Rhinolophus ferrumequinum: one gene and its partners. Each later gene encodes a partner of the first gene's protein in a complex. Links are inferred from orthologs where the notes say so. Each region holds a gene or a part of one and is shown in the gene's direction. Other genes may lie near its edges.

Evidence for each region.
Region 2: the proteins of CCKBR (region 1) and GAST are in contact, whole or in part, in a cryo-EM structure (PDB 7XOW), measured with the Homo sapiens proteins. The link is inferred for Rhinolophus ferrumequinum from reciprocal best matches to the Homo sapiens genes CCKBR and GAST. Residues at the interface, in NP_795344.1 of Homo sapiens: Cys107, Pro114, Asn115, Gly118, Thr119, Phe120, Met134, Gly135, Val138, Tyr189, Gln204, Cys205, His207, Leu222, Val349, Tyr350, Ala352, Asn353, Arg356, Pro361, Ala363, His364, Leu367, Ser368, Ile372, His376, Tyr380; in NP_000796.1 of Homo sapiens: Glu85, Ala86, Tyr87, Gly88, Trp89, Met90, Asp91, Phe92.
Region 3: the proteins of CCKBR (region 1) and GNAI2 are in contact, whole or in part, in a cryo-EM structure (PDB 7F8V), measured with the Homo sapiens proteins. The link is inferred for Rhinolophus ferrumequinum from reciprocal best matches to the Homo sapiens genes CCKBR and GNAI2. Residues at the interface, in NP_795344.1 of Homo sapiens: Thr87, Thr89, Arg152, Ala155, Ile156, Pro159, Leu160, Ala162, Arg163, Val164, Thr167, Ser169, Ile241, Gly248, Leu249, Lys328, Val331, Leu335, His394, Arg396; in NP_002061.1 of Homo sapiens: Glu28, Ala31, Arg32, Glu33, Val34, Lys193, Leu195, Thr220, Phe337, Thr341, Asp342, Ile344, Ile345, Asn348, Leu349, Lys350, Asp351, Cys352, Gly353, Leu354, Phe355.

Annotation. Positions count from the first base shown.
Region 1 is NC_046294.1:45,510,207-45,513,950, reverse strand, and holds the start of CCKBR (gastrin/cholecystokinin type B receptor), read left to right. Parts: upstream 1-1,288; coding exon 1,289-1,439; intron 1,440-3,744. UniProt on the Homo sapiens protein: Receptor for gastrin and cholecystokinin. The CCK-B receptors occur throughout the central nervous system where they modulate anxiety, analgesia, arousal, and neuroleptic activity.
Region 2 is NC_046304.1:37,693,363-37,696,802, forward strand, and holds GAST (gastrin), read left to right. Parts: upstream 1-1,312; 5' UTR 1,313-1,357; intron 1,358-2,333; 5' UTR 2,334-2,338; coding exon 2,339-2,549; intron 2,550-2,669; coding exon 2,670-2,773; 3' UTR 2,774-2,835; downstream 2,836-3,440. UniProt on the Homo sapiens protein: Gastrin stimulates the stomach mucosa to produce and secrete hydrochloric acid and the pancreas to secrete its digestive enzymes. It also stimulates smooth muscle contraction and increases blood circulation and water secretion in the stomach and intestine.
Region 3 is NC_046300.1:6,341,062-6,344,805, reverse strand, and holds the start of GNAI2 (guanine nucleotide-binding protein G(i) subunit alpha-2), read left to right. Parts: upstream 1-1,391; 5' UTR 1,392-1,548; coding exon 1,549-1,666; intron 1,667-3,744. UniProt on the Homo sapiens protein: Guanine nucleotide-binding proteins (G proteins) are involved as modulators or transducers in various transmembrane signaling systems.

The DNA of each region.
Region 1 (3,744 bases):
CCCCGCAAACTCAGACCTCATCCCCTGTCTAATCTGCTCTTTAGGCTAAAATATTAGAGGAGGCAAGTCCAGCCCAAGGAGCTGAATCCGACTCAGTCCTGCGCATGCTCTCAACAGCTTTGTTTCCGCTGCACCCCAGTGACCCAGCCCCCTTCTGGCCCCTCCCGTGGGAACCTGACGCCCCACACAAGCTGCTCCACCTGCGCGGAGAGCAAACAGGGAGCGTCTGTGTGTCGGGTGACGGTGGGCGCTGCCTGGAGACCACGAAGAAAACCAGCAGCCTCCTCCCCTCTTAGGCCTACGCAGCGCTGGTTTAGAACCATACCCCCAACCCTCACCCCACTCCACCCCCGTTTATCCTAGGTAGTTCTCACACCCCCACCCCCAGACTCCTCAACACCCAAGTCAGACTCTTCCTCCCGGCAGCCGTTTCCCCCGCCAGGGTTCCCCGTGGTCAAATGCTGTCTCTCCCGCCCCATCCTCGCATGCTGCTGAGGGTTCCTTGGGACCTTTGGGTGGGAGGCTGGGTGTTGCCTGAGGCAGGATGCGGCGAGGAGCTGCAGGGAACTACGGGAACGATAGCATCGCGGTCACTGCGGTCACTGCGGCCACTGCGGCACAGTATCGTAACTGCAGCGTTCGCTGTGAGCTAAGCCATCTGCGCCGAAGCCAGTGACCTCGCACGCGGCCACCGGCTGTTTCCATCTCCACGTCCCCCGACACTCCAGGGAAAGATGCTAAACTCCACGGCAGCAGCCTCGCCCTACCCCACCCCTCTTACCCTTCCTTCCCTGAAACCTACCTCCTCGCAACCTCCCCGTCTCTACATCCACCCCCAACCCCCACCCCACCCTTCCATCTCAGCGCTCTCTCTCTCTCTCTCTGTCTCTCTCTCTCTCTCTGACTCTCTCTCTGTCTCTCTCTCTCTCTCTGTCTCTCCCCCCGCCGCATCCCCGGGGGCGGAGACTGTAGTGAAGGGGAGTGGGCGAGAAGAAAATCTCTAAAAGAAGAACGGAGAGATTTATTTTAGGGTACGGAGGGCTCAAGCCTGGAGGACAGTCACGCAGGGGGCAAGTCCTGAGCGGGGAGGGGGGCGGAGGTCACCTGGCAGGACAGCTGAGGACCCGAGCTGGGGGGACCCGAGCCCACGCGGGGCGCACCGCGGAAAAGCTGAGGGCAGGAGCCAAGGTTGGGGGCGGGACCAGGCGAGGCGGGCGCCTCCGCGGAATCTCAGCGCGTGCAGGTGGAGCCGCCGCGGGAGCCCGCCCGGAGGAGCGGGGCCAGGGCCATGGAGCTGCTCAAGCTGAACCGGAGCGTGCCGGGATCCGGACCCGGGCCAGGGGCTTCCCTGTGCCGCCCGGGGGTCCCCCTCCTCAACAGCAGCGGTACTGGCAACCTCAGCTGCGAGCCCCCTCGCATCCGCGAAGCCGGGACACGAGGTGGGTGCCTCCCTAAGCCCCCTCCACAAGCTCCTTCCCACTGCACCCACGACACGAATAGAGGATCCCACTGCCTCCACATTGCCTCCTCAAACACCCACACCATGCCCTCAGGGCACTCCCTCAGTCCCCAAACAGCTCCCCTGAGGAGGACATTTGTCCCCCTCAGCTCATAAAACTCCATCCCAGCTCACACAGCCTGGTGAGAAACCCTACACACCCTGGTTCCCGGGTCATACCCGGAGCTTCTAGTCACCCCCCAAACACAGTACCTTCCCCAATACACAGAGGGTGGGGAGTTAATTCTTCTAAGTCTCTCTTTTGCCTTTACATCCAGTTCACAGAGCCACAATGGAGAAGGAAAGAGAGAAAAGAAGGCAAGATTGGGAAAAAGAAAGGGGCTGTTTGGGGAAGGGAGCAGTCTGGAAGGCCTGAGTGGGAAGTTAGAGTTATAATCTCCTGTGTCCCCAACCCCAACCCCCAATCTTCCCGGAAGAGATTGTCAAACTTGAATTAGGCTGGGTGCTGCTCCGGAGAGCTGCCTGTCTCCATTTCACTCATCCTCAAATCTTCCTGCCTCCCAACATGGAATTCTTCTCAAGGTCTGAACTCTCTTTCTCTATCACCAAGTAACGTCTCCAAGTGCCTTCCAAGCCTCCCCTCCAGACTGCCTCTCCTTAGGTTTCACCATCCTAGAGCCTAGCTGGCCCCTGAATCACCCCGTGGCCACCACCCCTTCAGACTACTTCCATTCACCCAGTCCCCAAAATAACTTTCACTCTTCCCATCAGCCAACATCTGCATTTTCTTGATGACCCAGCTCAAGTTATATATTTTCTACTTCCTGTACATTTCCTTTCCCTAAATGTTTACTGGGCAACTGCTATTGTAGTCCATGGGGACATAGGGATGAACTAGACCCAGTCTGGACTGTCATCGGTCCATAGTCAAGTGCAGAGAGGAGACAAAAACCAACGGAAAAATCACAGTCAGCAAGGGAAGACCCACAAAAGGGTCTGAATTGTGGGCACCCAAAAGGATTCAAGAACTTCACAGAGGGAACCTGGGAGCTGGGTCTTGAAGTTGGAGTTTATTATGCAGACAAGGAAGAAGTGGGATTCCAGGAGGGGAAATAATGTTAAACAGAAGGAAATTATGCCAATCCCAAAAAGGGAAGGTGGGAATAAATTATAATTCAAGTACTTTGTTACCCCACAAAGAACGCATGCTTCCTCATACAGACTCTCACTTAGATTTCTATTTTATTCAACAAATACTTATTGAACCAGGGATTGTGCTAGGCACCAAAACTGACACCGTTCCTTTTTCATGACTCCAACAGTTTAGTGAATGAGACAGACAAGTAAGCAAGGAATTGCAGCACAAAGTGCCTTGAGAGAGCTGTGGGAACACAGAAGAGGAGCACCGCTAGCCTAGCCTATCGTTGGGAAATCAGTTAGCCTCCTGAGGAGGCAAAGTATGAACTGAATAAAAATAAAAAGGATGAAAGAAAGCCAGCCAAATGAATGGCAGAAAAGGCAAAAAAAAAAAAAAAAAAAAAAAAAAAAAAAAGAAAAAAAAAGAAAAAAAAAAAAAGCACTCCAAGCAGAGGAATAGTATGTGTAAAAGCCCAAAGTTTAAAACCAAGGCACTTTTGTTCAGTGTGTCATAGTTTCTGAATGCCTGAAACATATACTGTAAGAAAGGAATAACGAACACTCAGAATGAAGGTGAGCCTAAAGAGCTTTAAGACTTAAGGAGTGTCAATGTTGTCTTGAGGGCCATGGAACTACTGGAAGTTTCAGTAGTGCTGCCAGGATTCATTCTGTGGTGTAGAGGATGGATCGGAGGACAAGACATGTAAGAAAGGGGGATGGGGTGGGTGGACACTTTAGAAAGCTATTATATTACACTGGTTCTGGGGAAAGATGATACTGGCTTAGACTAATTTACTGGCAGCAGGGATGGAGAGAAGTGGATGTTTGAGAGGCACTTCTGGAATCAACAGAATTTAGCTATTTATAAGAAATGGAGAGGGAGGAAGAGGTCAAGGGATAACATCCAGGTTTCTGGCTTGGACAATTGGATAGATGTTGGTGTATATAATGAGAAGGATAACAAAGGAACAGAAACAGATTTGAAAGAGGAGATAATAAATTCAATTTGGAACACACTGAGCTCAAATGCTGGTGCAATACTTAGGTGAGGTCACCCAGTAAACTATTAAACCCAGGGGTCTGGAATCTAAGTGTGAGGTATGAGCTAGAAATATAGACTTGAAAGGTCTTTGCCTAGAGGAGGTAAT
Region 2 (3,440 bases), on another chromosome or scaffold:
TCCACAGGCGCCGTTTCAATCACACCAGTCTCACCACGCTCAAGATCCTTACCTAGGGCCCGTCCAAACGGCGTCCACTGTGGACGTCGCTGGGCCACCTTCTTGTCGGGGACGTCTCCCACGACTTCAAGTAACGAAGCCTCCAGGGTCGTAACCCGCACTTTCCTTCCCGTGAGAATTCTCAACTGGGACCGGGCAGAGACCTGTTTCAGTCTCTCCGGTCGAGGACCTGTTTCAGTCCTCCCCTATTGGAGGTGGCCAAACCTCCTTCCGCGGTTCCCTATGTAAACCTCGGTATCGGGAGTTGTCTGTTCCCCTGAGGGGGGGGCGTCCCGGGCGAGCCCCCAAATGTTAAGGTCCGGAATTGTCCCCCTCAGACAGACAGAGAACCCGCAAAATAATGCAAGTCACACAGCGAGGTTTATTTCCAGCCGGCTGGGGTCCGAGTCTCTGCCCGACGCAGCAGGTTTTAACAAGGACCCCAAACACTTAAAGCCAAGGGGTTATATAGCATTTTCAAGGCTTTCCATAGCTTCTGAGAGTACTAGATAAACTTACAGGACTTACATAGTTTCAAAGAGTATAAGATTTACTACAGGACAAGGAGACCAGGAGTATAAGATAAGCTACAGGACTTGCATAGCTTCAAAGAGTATAAGATTTACTACAGGACAAGGAGACCAGGAGTATAAGATAAGCTACAGGACTTGCATAGCTTCAAAGAGTATAAGATTTACTACAGGACAAGGAGACCAGGAGTATAAGATAAGCTACAGGACTTCTAGTCTCCATGCTGCAACTGCCCACATCCTGGAATTTTATAATTATGTTGTTTCAGGCTAGGGGCTGTTAACCCTGACCTAAAGATAGCAGTTCACATGCTAACAGTCTCTTACAGTGTTTTCTCTGAATCTAAGGTCATTTGGTCCGTCTGCCTCACCTGCCCCTGACTGGATCTAGACCAAGGGGTGAGCACCAGGTCTCTGACCCCGAGAACATGATGGGGACCCTGTCCCTGAGCCCAGGGAACCTGTCTCCTGCCTGCCCTCATGCCCAGCTGAAGAACTGCCCCTGCCCCACCCTGCTCCTGCCCCTCCCCACGAAGGTCCACTCTCTCCCCTCCCCCACACCCGGATGAGTGACTCTAAATGACAGGGCGGGGCAGGGGTGATGTACCTGGACCACCCACTTTCCTCTACCAGTGAAGAGCCTGACCTCACGGGGGGGGGGGGGGGGGGGGGGGCTTGGGAGGGGCCTTGAGGGCTTTATAAGTCAGGGCTGGAGCACCCAGCCCAACAGAGGACAGAGAGGCTCCAAACTGACCCGAGCATCGAGCATCGGCTTCCCAGCTCTGCAGGTGAGAGCACCTGGGAGGGGAGGGAGAGGCTGGGAAGAGGGTTGCTAGGACCCCAGGCTCACATCTCGGTGTCTCCAGGGATGGGACACGTCCTTTAGCCCAGGGCTGCACTAGGTCTCGGCACTAGGGCCCACCCTGGCTTCCCAACCCTCGCCTTCAAGCTGACCTGCTGATTCACCCAGGTCCCTGCCCTAACCTCTTACTACATACTCACCCCAGCCCTAGGAGCTGGGGACAAAGGCTATTCTCCCATCTCTCAGATGAGAAAACTGAGGCCCAGAGGGAGACGTGACTTACCCAAAGTCATATAAATTATTGGGCAAGGCTGGGACTGGAACCCAGGGTTTCTGGATCCCACCTCAAGCTCTTTCCTAGACCAGCACAGTCTGAAAGAACTTTCGATTTTGATGTTAATCTAAATCTTCACTGTCCAATATGGTATCCACCAGCCACACATGCACTGTAAATGTGGCTAGTGCAAGGGAGGAATTTTTTATCTGAATTTAAATGCAAGGAGCCATATGTGACCACGGCTACCATACTGGACAACACACATGGCCAATGCTGGACACGGTGACTATGCTGGAGGTCTCCAAAGGAACCCGGTGTGGTCTGTAACGCAGCTGAGTGTGTATGTTCCTTTGGTATTACTGTTTAACGTTCACTGTAAATTACAAGACTGAAACATCTACAGAGCTATTCACCTGGCCTCAAACTCTATAAAACAGTTTAGAAAAAATTCCTCTAGGTTTTCGATTACTCAGAGAAGCAGTCACTGGAGTTAGGGTACGTAAGAAGGAAAGGGGCAAGGCTTGGGGGCCGGGGGAGCAGGCAGGAACTGGAAGAACAGCCGCCAAGCCGTCGCAGAATTGCAGATCTGTTGGCAGGCAGAGTCTGGAGTGTATCTGGTCCAGACACCTGCCTCTGGGTGCCTGGACTACTCCACCTTTAAGCTCGGCCGCTCTCTCCTTTGCAGACAAGATGCACAGATTGTGTGTGTACGTGCTGATCTCGGCACTGGCTCTGGCTACCTTCTCTGAAGCTTCTTGGAAGCCCCACTACGAGCTGCAGGATTCGCCCTCGGATTCAGGGGTCAATAGGGGCCTGGAGCCACATTGGCTGGACCAGTTGGGTCCAGCCCCTCACCACCGAAGGCAGATTAGGCGCCAGAGTCCCCCAGACCTGGTGGCAGGTAGGAGTTACTGACAGCCATCCCTGCTTGCCTCACTCAGCCCATTTGGCCCTGGCCTCAGTCCCAGAAGCTAGGTGTCCCTCCACCATACTCACCTCCTCTGCCATCTCTGACCCTCAGATCTGTCCAAGAAGCAGGAGCCATGGCTGAAGGAAGAAGAAGCAGCGTATGAATGGATGGACTTCGGCCGCCGCAGTGCTGAGAAAGGGGATCAACGTCCCTAGAACCGAACTTCAGAGCTCAGTTACCTCCCAGCCCAGCCCGGCCCCATGAAAAACCAATCAAAATAAACTAGCTTCCAATGGATCACATTGTGTCACGTGTCATGGGGCAAAGAAGGGGCGATTGGGGGCAGGGTTGAGGCAAAGAGGAGAGTTGAGCACCCCTCTGGGGGCAGGGACCACGGCTCATCCTTCTTGGTATCCCCAGAGTCCAACACTGAGCGAGCATCTCCACATGTGGGTGGGAGAATAGGGGGTGGGGGCCGCAACCAGAGTAAGCATTTTTTTTTCACTTTTTTTTTCAGAGTAAGCTTTTTAAAAGAAAAATCAAATCATATCACTCCAATCCTCCACTGCTTCCCATCACACTTAACATAAAATGTAAACCCCTCGTCAAAGCTCTAAGAGCCAGTCCTCATAGCAGGCGCCACCGTGGATACCACCTCTCTTCTTTCTCTCTCTTCCTTTCCCTTCCACAAGCGCACCGCGCGCTTTCCTGCTCAGAACATTTGTCCTCGCTGTTCCTGTACCTGGAATGCTTATCCCCAGGCACACATGTAGCTGGCTCCTCTTTCTCCTTGGGGTCTTGACTGAAATGCCTCTTCCTGAAGACCTGCCCTTTCTGCTCCTTGCCCCTCCCACACAGACCCCATCGTCCTCTAATTGCAGC
Region 3 (3,744 bases), on another chromosome or scaffold:
GTTCTCCCTGTTGCCGGGCAACTGCAAGAGCTGTTGGCTGTTGCTAGGAGCAGGCTGGGGAGGCCTGAGAAGGGAGGATCAGCTCTCAAGCGCAGGGCTGAGCTGGTGGGGGAAGAGGCAAGTCTGGTCACAGACAGGCTGTGTTCTTGGCTGTGTGCACCCATTTTTATAGTCTTCTGTGGTTAGAGGCATGTATAGAGCATATCTCTGAGTGTCTGTGTCACTGGGTGGGCATTATGTGTTTTCACCATGTTGCATGCTTGTGGCAGTGCCTGTCTGAGCTTTGGCTCCAGGAAGGAGGGAGCCCAGGGGGAACCGTTGGAGGACTTACAGGCCAATGGCTCCTCAACAAGGGAGCCATTCAGATAGGGATACAGACACTCCAGGGGGAGCAGACAGCCTGAGGACTGGGAGCTGAAACAAGATGTGTGCCAGGGTAGGAAGGAGGGAGTCTGCTGAACAGGGGCTGTGGGTGGCCAAGCGTTGGTGACCGAGCATTGGTGGCCAGTTCCCCTCCTGGCTTTGTTGACCTTTTCTGTCTTTGGGTTGGGGCCATCTCGGCTATTGCACTAGATACACTGCTGCCTCCACCCCACCTTTGCCCCGTCATAGGGTTGTAGCCACTGTCTAGTGGAGTCAGGCCATAAGATCATGGCCACTTATATTTTCAGAGGTCAGTTGGCATCTCTCTCTCTGTCTCTCTCCTCCTCACTTGGGTCCTGGTTGCGGAGACCCAGGCTGGAGTCCAGGATGCCTACCTGCTGGAGAATGCCTCCTAGAAGAACTGAGGATAGAGTAAGTCCTGGATGACTAGAAAAAGCAAAGATGTAGAAGTGGCAATAGACTTTTTGTAAAAATTGCAACCCAGAAAGAGAAGGGGAGCAAACCCTCCTTAGGACGGAGAAAGCCGCAGTCCAGAGAGACTCTGGGCTCTGTAGATCCCAAAACAAGTTTATTGGGTTTATTAACTTTAACAAGTGCGAGGACACGCCTCCTCCACCCGGTTCGCGCAACTCGATGAAGCTCGGAGGGCTGCTTCCTGCTCCGCCCGCAAGGTGCACCCGATCTCCACCCTCAGGCTACGAGATCCTCCCGCCCCGCGGTTGGGCTGCGCCCCAGGAGCTCCGCACCCAATCGGATGCCGGCCCCGCCTGCAGCCCGCCCCGAGTCCTATCCCTCTGGGCTTGGCGATACCTCTACGGCTCTCCCTCGGCGTGGCTCCGCCTCCAGCCCGCGCCCGAGCCTGGGCTGCGCCTAACTCCTTAGTTCCGCCCTCGAACCAATCGCTGGCCCGAGATCTCCTGTGGCCCCGCCTCCAGACCCGCCCCTGCCCAGTGCCGGGCCTGGCTCGTTCCGGCCCCACCCCCGGCCCGCCCCGCCGTCGGTGCGCGGAGCCCTGGAAGGCACCGCCCGCAGACGCTCGCAATTGCCGACCGGAGAGCTACCCGAGGAGAGCCGGCGGCGGGAGCGGAGTGGGTTGCGCGCGGGGCCAAGCCGGGCCGGGGGCCGTGTCGGGGCCGAGCGGCGGCCGGGCCGGCGGACGGCAGGATGGGCTGCACCGTGAGCGCCGAGGACAAGGCGGCGGCCGAGCGCTCCAAGATGATCGACAAGAATCTGAGGGAAGACGGAGAGAAGGCGGCGCGGGAGGTCAAGTTGCTGCTGTTGGGTGAGGCCGCGCCCTGCGCTGGGACCCCCGACTCCCCGCCCAAAACCCCCAACAAGGACTTTGACCTCCAGGCTAGGGCTTTGAACTCCCAGACTCGGCCTGGACCCCCACATCTGAATTTGAACCCCCAGACCTGGCCTGGCCAGGACAACCAAATAATGATTCAAAAGTCTGGGTTGGTCCAGACCTCTGATCTATAGCCCAGAGTCGAGGTTAGACCTTCAACTCATTCCAGTCCCCAAAGCCGGCCCCCAGTGCCTCAACATAAGCTGCTCAGAACCCGGCTTGAAAATCCACCTTTACTGACCAACCTCACAGACCCTCAGAGCCGCTGCCTGTCCTCATCCTTCCCTAGACTTTACCCAAACCCCCAGAACCCTACTCGGCCCCCAGACTGCTCACCGTATTCCGTTCGGTGGAAGTATCCTCAAGGCCCCTGCCTGGCCCCCTTTCCCTCCTTCCCGCTCTGTTCCCCATCTCTACACGGCACCCTGTATCCTCCACCTGTGCACCCTGATCCCAAGGGGCCTCTCAAGTGGGAAACCATAACTGCTCCTGAGCCCTCTCTCCAGCTGGAACCCCCAAACCCTTAAAGACCTCTGCTGCCTGCATCTGGCCCACCAGGTCTCTGCCCGCATCACTCCTCAGACCCGCTGTTTCCCCTCCGTGAAGTCCTCTTCCACACTTCGGCCTTTCCCAGAGTCCCCCACCCCTCCTGCACTGGATGGGCCAGGCTGGGAGGAGGTGGCCCAGACCCCCAAGGGGTCCGACTAAGGCTTCACTGGTCCCACTTGGGGAGCCCGGGCCTCTGCATCCCAGGGCTGTCCTTTTCCCAGTTTCTAAGCCGGGTCTGGGCCGGTGAGGGGGAGGTCTGGGGGGTAGGAGGGAGTGTGGAGGAGTTGGGGTTGTGGCGCCTCCAGGGCCAGGGAAGATGGTGGCTGCTTGAGAGGTGGGGGAAGTGGAAGTGGTAAGACAGCGAGCCGACATATTGCTGCCCTGGCGGGCGGGCGGGCCGAGGAGATCTGCTGACGGGTGCCAGGCTTCCTGCACGCCTCTGGGCCTAACGGCCTGGGATGTGGCCTCCGGGAGGGGGTGGCCTGTTGGATCTTGAGGCCGTGTGAGGAGCGAGTGGTGGACCAGCTGGATGGGGGGTAGGGGGTAGGCGGGGGGCACCTGAGGTGGACTTTTACAAAGCCTGTGGGCCCTGTAGTTGTCCCCATCCAGCCTCCCACTGGGAGCAGGTGTGGTGCCCAGTGGCAGCCTGATTTGGGGGAGGTTTCGGGCTTGGAGGGAGGGAAGCCCCTGGCAGCAGCATTGGAGGCTGGACAGTGTATGGGGGGGTGTGGCCCCTCAGCCTCAGAGCTGCTGTGGGGTCCCAAGCTGTGAAAAGTGGGGCTTTTCATGCTGGGCGTATGGCCGAGGGGCCTATGGCCGAGGGACAGTGTGTCTTTCGTCATGCGTCCATCTGTTGACTGTCCCTGGGGGCCTGGCCTCGGGGGCACAGCCCCGAGGTTTCAAAATGGCATCCGCTCCAACGCTGCGGGAGGAAGAGAAGGGGCGGGAAGGGGCGGCGGCCCAGCCTCCTGGGCTGTTTTGCGTTGGGCGCTTGCCTCTTCCTGTCTCTGTGCTGCGAGTACAGCGGCAGTGAGTGGGTGTCGCCGATGGAATGCCCGTGGCTGCTGCCTGCTGGGCCTGGGAAAGGTGCTTCTGGTCCTGCTGCCTCCCAGTGCCCGACCAGGGGCCTCTAGCCAGCCCCTTGGCAGGCCCGTCAGAGTTATTGTGGCAGCTGAGATGTGGGACTGGGCCATGGGGCGGGGGGACACAGGGCTTCTGGGCTGTTCTGTGTCTGGACCGCATCCCACCAGTCTTGCTCCTAGGAGCCTGGCTCAGGTTTTGGGCCTGGCAACCCCTCCCACACTGGGCTGTCACAACCAGGGGTTCAGGGTACGGCTCAGCATTTTCTAGGCTGGGGAGTCCATTTCAGCATCCTGCCCCTCTGGCTTTGCTTCCCTCCCCATCCCCTACCCCCATGAAATGGGCTTCCTGGGTTTGGGCCAGAGGAGTGCCTGGGTCCAGGC